2 linked regions of the Coturnix japonica genome follow. The protein of the gene in region 2 binds, or shares a complex with, the protein of the main gene of each other region. Links are inferred from orthologs where the notes say so. Each region holds a gene or a part of one and is shown on either strand. Other genes may lie near its edges.

The links.
Region 1: the proteins of PAWR (region 2) and SPSB1 are in contact, whole or in part, in a crystal structure (PDB 2JK9), measured with the Homo sapiens proteins. The link is inferred for Coturnix japonica from reciprocal best matches to the Homo sapiens genes PAWR and SPSB1. Residues at the interface, in NP_001341661.1 of Homo sapiens: Glu68, Leu69, Asn70, Asn71, Asn72, Leu73, Pro74; in NP_079382.2 of Homo sapiens: Arg77, His78, Pro79, Val80, Ala81, Gln82, Gly110, Thr111, Tyr129, Val216, Trp217, Gly218.

Annotation. Positions count from the first base shown.
Region 1 is NC_029536.1:2,839,957-2,843,759, reverse strand, and holds part of SPSB1 (SPRY domain-containing SOCS box protein 1), read right to left. Parts: coding exon 3,423-3,803; intron 709-3,422; coding exon 581-708; 3' UTR 1-580. UniProt on the Homo sapiens protein: Substrate recognition component of a SCF-like ECS (Elongin BC-CUL2/5-SOCS-box protein) E3 ubiquitin-protein ligase complex which mediates the ubiquitination and subsequent proteasomal degradation of target proteins.
Region 2 is NC_029516.1:35,911,751-35,916,309, forward strand, and holds the start of PAWR (PRKC apoptosis WT1 regulator protein), read right to left. Parts: upstream 3,003-4,559; 5' UTR 2,876-3,002; coding exon 2,408-2,875; intron 1-2,407. UniProt on the Homo sapiens protein: Pro-apoptotic protein capable of selectively inducing apoptosis in cancer cells, sensitizing the cells to diverse apoptotic stimuli and causing regression of tumors in animal models.

The sequences.
Region 1 (3,803 bases), on a different chromosome or scaffold from region 2:
GAGGTCCTGGCAGGGACAGACACGAGCAATACAACCACCTCCTCCAAATTAAGCATCCTGGTGGAAGGGTTCTTGGTTTTGGTGTCAGGGTTTTTTGGTTTTTAAGAACTCAGCAATGATTTCCTCTTGGTATTCCAGACTCTTCCCAATTCCACTGGCCACCCCATGCCTTTCCATTCTTAGCACCTAGTCTTAAGATATTCACTCTTAGTGCCTTCCCTTCCCCAGCCTACGTTCTTCCCTTAAACTGATATAGAAGGGCCCACTCCCAGGCTCTAAGATCCCAAGGATGCAGTGCAGCCTTTTATCAGTAAAGCAGGGAAGCACAGAGCTTCTGTTAAGTTTCCTTCTTTAAACTGTGCTGGGGAAGTGACTTCCAAGGAACAAAACAGTCATGAAATAAAGACTACTCGAGAGCTTGCCAATAAGGGCACATGGAGATTTTTTTAGCAGTAACAGGAGTACTTTGGCCAAGGATTTCCAACAGTAGCAATGACACAAGGGTCGCAAACCCACTGTCCAGTGGGTCAGCTCCAGACATTTTGCCTTGCTTTCAACTCTCTGTCCCAGAACACGAAGGTCATTGGTAGAGCAGGTAACTCTTGAGGGAGGCTGGCAGTGGCAGGGTAGGGATCTCATTCAGTCTTTCCTTGCCCAGAGCAAGCCTCACAGCTCGTCGACACAAGTCCATCAGAGGCAGTGGTTCAGCTGGAAAAGAGAAGACACGAGACATTAACATCTCAACCTACAAGCTACGTATTCATCTTGTTAACTCTAAAAATCCCTCCCACCCCCCACAAAAACTGAACAAGATGAGCAGATGCTTGTTCACCAGACCCAAGCAATTCAGCATTCACAAATCAGCAGCTTCAGCTCATCTAATTTGGCATCTTGTGAACTAATTGAACAAGATGATACTAGTTTTTCAGGCAGGGTATATGGGGTCCTTTGTTGCTGAAAAGTCATTTGTAGCATAAAAGAGACAGAGGTCAGAGCCAGAGTGAACACATCACATCTGCATGGAAGGAATATACAGATCACCAACAGAAGCAGTGAGAAGCCAAGCCTGTCCTAGCTCACCTGCACACAGCACACTGCTCAAAGGGAGGGGGTTCCTCCTCCACCAAGAGACAGCTAAAACAAGGGCATCCTAAGCCAAATAGGCAACTGGATATCCTTCTAATAGCCTGAGTGCTCAGCATTAGAAAGCTTAGAGACATCTTAGGCCAAACACACCTAAAGACTTGCATTTTTTGTGGATAAGTTTGGCTGAGAAGCTGCAGTTTTCAGAAACTTTGATAGATGCCAACCAGCTTCAGCTTCTACTACAACCCAAATTAATCTGATTGTTCACGCAGCTGCTTTCAGCTTTCCTGGTCTCTCTGCTGTTGATTTTCTAAGCATGATCACGTTACTGTATTTCTTACCAGTCGGTCAATAAAGTGGACAAAAATCCCTTCCTCTAAGATTCATGGTTAACAACTAACACTGGAAAGCTCACATAGAAGTGTTGTCAGTAGTCACTATGTGTTTTTGTTTGTTTGTTTGTAGCAGTTCCCCAGAGTCGTCCTTATGCTTCAAGCATTATTAATGAGGCATCATACCTCTCTAAGTGCACCTCTCCTGCAAAAATAGGTGGGTGGAAAGCAATCAAACAAATCTGTCAGGGCAGTGCTGCTCCTTCCCAAGCCCTACAATTTGTCACCCATGTTCTATGCTGGAGAGTAGCCCCAGGGCTGCTCAGTGCCTTCCTGCAGAGCATAGCTACACTCAGCCCAAGGCACTGCCGCTCTTGCCTGCTCATGACCTACTTCAAGATCCATGCTGCCTCTTTGGCAGGCACAGGTCTCTCTGTACAGCAGGACTACACGTCTCAGTTCTGGCTGCGATACTACCAGAGAAACTTATTACTGGCAATACTCCTTTGGCACTTGCCAGTGTAGCTTACCCTTAAAAATTGTACCCTCTGAAGTACAAACGTACTCTATTCCAAATCTGTCCCAACACCTCTTGCTCCGTATGGAGATAGCTGGGACTGAGATTATCTATCCAGAGGCCAGTAGCCATAGAGAACTGGAAAGTCTGGACTTTCAAAGCCGACAGGCATCAACTTAACAAATAATTCCCATTTAACAGTCTTAAAAGCTGAGAAGATCATCTTCCCACAGAGATTAAGAACTTTGTCCTCATCTAGTTTGCACTGATAATCCAGTCTTTGCAAAGATAGACCAGAAGAGAAAGCACACACATATCTGACCTTCTTCCATTCACAAGCACTACAAACGCTGGACACAGTGCAGCTATTGAACGCTGAGAAGTGGTTAGAGCCAGACACCTTCTTTCTGTGTGTGCCAAAATAGCGTCCTGTCATTCCTGGCCTTACGCCCATGATTCACTCCTATGCCGAGAGCACATTACAACCAAATCCAATACAGGAGGTGGCTGTTTCCCTGTTAAGTGCAGTTCTGCACAGACAGCTCCACAGACTTGCTGGCTCTGAAAGGAGCTGCAAGTTTTAGATCTGACCCTCCCAAAAACCTGGTTACTGGAGCTGCTGCCATTCTGTAAGCTGTTGTGGCAGGATAAGCTTGGTTCTTTCTTTTTGTTGGTGAGAAAATGCTTTGCCAAGAGCTCTCAAGTTCAGAAGACTGCAGTTCTCCAGTGTTATTCAGCCTCTCCTGCTCTAAAAGCTCATCTGCTAAAATGCTGATGGAAAGAAGGCTGACTGCAGGAAGAAAAAAAACATTATGGAAAGAATACACCTTTTACTGAGCATTAAGACAGTTTTTCAACATCCCTACAGTAAGCAAATACTTCCTTTGACTTCTGCAAGTTCCTTAAAGTAACTTCCTCTGAAGTGTCAGTGAATAGCTATAATGCCACTGGATAAGAACAAATAGTTGTCTAACAGAAGCATTTAAGCAGCAGGAGATGCTATACAGCCCTTTTTCCTTGGTCTGACCAGGATGTGTTGCTTTCTACCCACATTAAGACAGGACACATGAAAGATAAGACTAGCACATATGGGCCAGCCGAACCTATTACTAAGCTTAGCAAGGGATTGATGATACTATTAGTAAAAGACCTAGCATGCAAGTTGGCCTGGCTACAGTATCCAGCCCCCACACTAGAAATGAGAACAGCCTGCCATGAAAGAAGCAAGCTACTTTCTTCAAAGATGAGACATTCCATTTCCTCAGACAGGGATCAATCTTCCCACTCCTTCCTGTAGGGAATTTTCAAAGTCCTTTCATAAGGCATTGCAAGAACTGTCCCTCAGAGACCCTGTAAAGAAGCACCAGGATTATACTGCAAACACTGCAACTATCATCAGGAACATCCTTTTTTTTGGACATTTTGGTAGCACATTTAAGTAGCACACAGATTTGAGTCACTAGAACAAATACAGAGGTTATACTCACGGTCAAGTCCATTCAAGTAGCGCATCCTTATTTCACAGTGTCCCCACACTGCGCTCACCACTGGGTACAGCTTTTTCCCTTTAAGTCCCCGAAAGGCAACACCCATATATTGCCCATCCACAATGAAACTCAGCGTCCCATCATCCATGTCCAGAACCACCAGGAAGGAATCCGGCACAATGAAAGTTTCATCTGGTTCTAGGAAGGCAGGGTAGGTTTTACTTGGCTGGTTCTTGCCGTCGTGGTACAGTCTGTTGCGCCCAAGGTCCCATCCCCATGATTCATGGTTATTTCCTACAAGTGTGGTGTACCCTACAGAATGCAAAGGGGCGTCTGCTGTTGCCACCCCTACCACAGCATGTGTGCCTCGCTGCCGCATCG
Region 2 (4,559 bases):
GCACTGCCCCTGCTCCCAACCTGTCGCCATTTGTTTTCACAGCTTCCCCTTCGATTTCTGACCTCCAATGACTTCAATACAAAAGAACTTTAAGACCTGGAACTGTTTAAGACCCAGCTCTACCTATTTTCTACCTACTCTACCTTCCTATTGAACAGAAATTCATCATTAATGAAGAACTAACATTTTTAATGCCTATTTCAACAATACAAGACAACCTAAACTTTAACTTTCCATCACTTTTCATAACGTTCAAGTTTCCAAATGTATTACAACAGAAATTAGGTTCTGTTTCATTAGTGGTGAAAACCACTCTTGTATTCTTTTCCAGGCCAAGAAGCTCCCGGGCAATAAGCATCTCCCACAAGCGGCCTTCCAGTACCTGAAGGGAGCTTTAAAATCACAAGAGAAGCCGACTTTTTACATAGTCTGATAGTGATGAGGCAATGGGGAATGGTTTTAAATTAAATAAAGGAGATTTAGGTCAGGTGTTAGAAGAAGAATCTTTATTCAGTGGGCAGTGACACAGCTGCCCAGAGGAGGTGTGGATGCCCCATCCTTGGAAGCACTTAAGGCCAGGCTGGATGGAGCCTGAGCTGCTGGGTGGCAGCCCTGCCCACAGAAGAGGGTTGGAACTGGATGGGTTTTATGGTCCCTTCCAACCCAAACCGTCCTATGACTCTATGAAACTGGAGTGCTGTAGACTGCATGCTCAGTTATTCCAAGTCATCATCTACACCACAGCCTTCTTTTGTCCAAATTCAGTGTCACCATCAGAATGTCCAGTGAACGTAAACTGAGCGTAGTGAATCAGTGCTTTAGAGCATTCCCTCTGTGACTAAACAGAAAGACAGTGCAAATAAGACATTCATTGCTAAGTAGTTATTCATATTTGACAGTGGGCTTCTGAAGTTATGTACCATTGGGAATGACTTGGTGTCCATAGTTAAATAACGCTCAGGAATGCAGGCAGTAATGATTAAAAACATCTAATAAATGTAAAATACTTAAAAGAAGGAGCTTTGTGTAAAGCCATGCCTGTCAAGGCACAGCACTTAGTAGCAGCGAGTCTCTCCAGTAACACCCTGTGTGACAACCAGCTGCATTTATTGACACGGGACCCTACAAAGGCCATGGGGATGTTAATCTCTGGTTTCAGACAGCAGCGATATGGAGAGAAGTTTGCAAGGAGTCAGGCCTCAGAAACACAAGGCTGAGGAGAGTTGGGCTTCTCAGTGCCCAAGTACCTCAACCACGACAGCCATCCTAACAAGGCAGCAGCAGCTACAGCAACAAACTGACACGGATGATTCCAATGGTTGCTGAGCAAGGAACGTGCATTCCTGGAAAGCAATGAATCCTCAGAGCAACATTCAAACAAAACAAAACAAACCCAACAAACAAACATGAAACCCAACCACCAGCACACCCCAAACCGCACCACCCGCAGCCACAGAACAGCAGCTCAGAACACAAGTTCAAAGCAGCAGGACACACCAGTCACGGGGAGAGGGGAAAAGGGGAAAGGCCGTGACTGGAGTTTGGGGGTGCAGAAGAGGCCCTAGAAGGGGCTGCAGTGTGCAAAGCCCCTACGAAATAGAGCAGGGCTAGTTAGGAGCACAAGGTGGGTAGAGGGGAGCACACAGAGCACATCAACCATCTGAGCCTGGGCAGCTGGCAGGTTCTGAAGCCAGAGAGCTGAGAAACTCACCACACTCCTTCCCAAAGCAGGAAGACCCACACCCACACATCCCAGAGTAGGCTCTGCAAGTGCAGGACCAACCCCTGCGAAACACAGCTCCAAACACTGCCACTGCTCGTACCACTCACTGTTCATCTCCCAGCACCTCCCTGCATTGAAGCGATCGCCACGAGCGCGTTTATGGGATTGAAACAAGTGTTAATGACTCCGGGGCTGCAGAACACAACTCCACCCCCTGCTACTGCTGCAGGAGCACTTTTACTGCCGTTCCGACCATCTGTACCATTAACCAGAGAAAACAGATTGCACGGTTTTCCCTACAGTGAGATAAACCACCAGAATTAACGCAACACTGCGAGTAAAACACAACTTTGTTTCAAGTTTTCCTATTAACTGAGGGGGGGGGGGGGAAGCAAAAGAAAAGCTGACGGCTCGGTTATCATTCTTCCGAATTCCTCTAGGAGCATTATAGCTCAGCGCCAGTAGCGAGCCGCAGAGGACAGCGGTGTTGGCTGATAAAAAATACCTTCCTCTGCCCTCAAAAAACGCTCCTTCAACCACATTATTTCCAGAGAAGGGAATATTTTGGGGTTCCAACGGGCTGTTCACACCTGAGCACCCACTCGGAGCCCTGACTCCGCCGCACACCTGGGCTGCCCCGCAGCGCCCCGTTCCCGCTCGGGTCTCACTCCCCGCCCCGCTCACCTCGGCAGCCGGGATGTTCACCACCCCCGTGGATCTCCTTTTCTCCCGCAGCTTTCTCTTCTCGATCTGCCCCTTCCCTTTCCTGGCGCTGGGGCCGGAGCTCTTCCCCTTGGCCGCCGGCTTCTCCTCTCCCTCGGGGGAGCCGGGCGCTCCGGCGGCGGGCGGTAGCTTGGCGGGCTCCCTGCCGGCAGCGGGGCCCTGTGGCGGCGGCTCCTTGCCGGGCACGGCGCGGCCCGGCCCGAGGCAGTTGTTGGCCCCGCCGGCGGGGGGCGTTAGAGCGGCGGGCAGGTGTTGGTGCGGCTCGGCCGTGGTAGGACCCGCCGCCGGCCTGGCCTCGGCCCCCGCCGCCGCAGCAGCAGCAGCGCCGGGTCCCGTGGGCGCCTGCTTGGCCCGCATCTTCTCCCGCTTGGCTTTCCACTCCTCCAGAAAGTCCGTGGTGCTGCCGCTCCGGTAGCCGCCGGTCGCCATGTTCGCGGCGGGGTGGATGGCGGGAGCGCCCCGCAGCGCCTCCGCCGCCGCCCGCCCCGAGGCGGCCGTGCCGCTGCCCGCGGAGGAGCGCTCCCGGCGGGGCGGACGAGACGGGGGCGGGGAGAGAGGCCGGGAGCGACGCGAACACCCTGGGCAGAGACAAAAGGGGCCGTCAGGCGTCCCGCCGCGCCGCCCGTCCCGCCCTGCCTCCCGCCGAGCCCCCCCTCCCCGCCCGGGGCTCCGCTCCCCATCACCGCCGCCCCGGCTCCCCCCGCGCCCGCCCTCACCGCGCCGCCCGCTGCCGTGCCCGCCCGACGCCGCTGCCGGGGCCGGTCGGCGCGGCGGGGGGGGCGAGGCGGGTCCGGGGGGCGCTCACCTCCCGCCCGGCCCGAGGCGGCCGATCCCCAGCGCCGGCGGCACCAGGTGAGCGGCACCACCCCCCGCCCGCCCGGAAGGAGCGGCGCCGAGCCACGGGCTCCCCCCCGTTCGCCCTCCCATTTCTCCATCGCGGAGCGGACGGAGCCGAAGCGAGGGCGGAAAGTGCCGAGGTGACCCGCGGCCGGGCCCGTCACCTGCCCCCCGGCTCTCGGCCGGGGCCGCGCTGCACCTGAGTCCGGCCGCACCTCCCCGCTGCCCCCCGCTGTACGCGCTTCTCCCCACACGTCTGCACTCGGGGTCCCCGTCTGAAGGCAGGAGGATGGGAACGGAGCGGCTCCGCGTCTTCGTTTTGTGGCTTGGAACGAGGACATGGGGAGGGGGGGTCCGGGAGGGATCTCGGTTGGTGACGCTGCAGCCCTCGGCTCACAAATGTCGCTGGGTTGGAAACGGCGAGAACGCGTGTAAAGAAGGAGTGGGGCTGAAGTCTGAAAGTATTCGTTATATGGGCGAAGACACGGTAAAACCTGTCTGCAAAGCTCTGCTTTCACTTGAATTTGCAGCGGCACAACAGCCCCAAGCGCCTGATGGGAGGCTCCTGCAACCTGCCGTGCTATCCATGGCCAGGGCTGCTTTAGCCCTGCGCCTCTCTGCCCTGTGCTCACCCCACCGACCTTCAGTGCCCCTCTGCTGATGGCTCCTTCGCTTGGACTTTCTGCTTCTGTCTCATTTCTGCTCTGGTTGGTGCTTAGGGCTTCTCTGGGTGCAGCAGTTTTGTTCTAAAGCATTGCTCAGTGCCTGGAGCACCTGGGATGCTGGGCTTTTCCATGCAGAAGACACCTCTAGCCTTGCTGGCTGACAGCATGGCCCAAACAGAGCAGGTTGTTGTTCTGTGTGACACCAGGAAGCCATCAGCAGGTGGAAAGGATGACTTGGCAGAGCCAAGTTGGTTGTATTTCACTCTAACAGATTGATTAACAAAAGGCTGATTTAAGAGAAGTTCTGATTGAGCTCCCCCCTATCCTCAGAAAAACCTTTTAACCTTCACTTTACCTTCACAGTTACAAAAGCACGGAGCTCTGTTTGCAGAAAAAGCAACTTAGGTGAAAGGACCCATCGTGTCAGTTCTCAATACGATCAACCACAGAACCATTAAGGTTAGGAAAGGCTGCCCAGATCACAAGTCCAGCCATCACCATGCCCCGCCGTGCCCACATCCCTCCCTGCCATATCCACACAGTTCTCACAGAATCACAGAATGACCCGGGTTGGAAGGGACCTCAAGGATCATGTAGTTCCAACCCCCTGC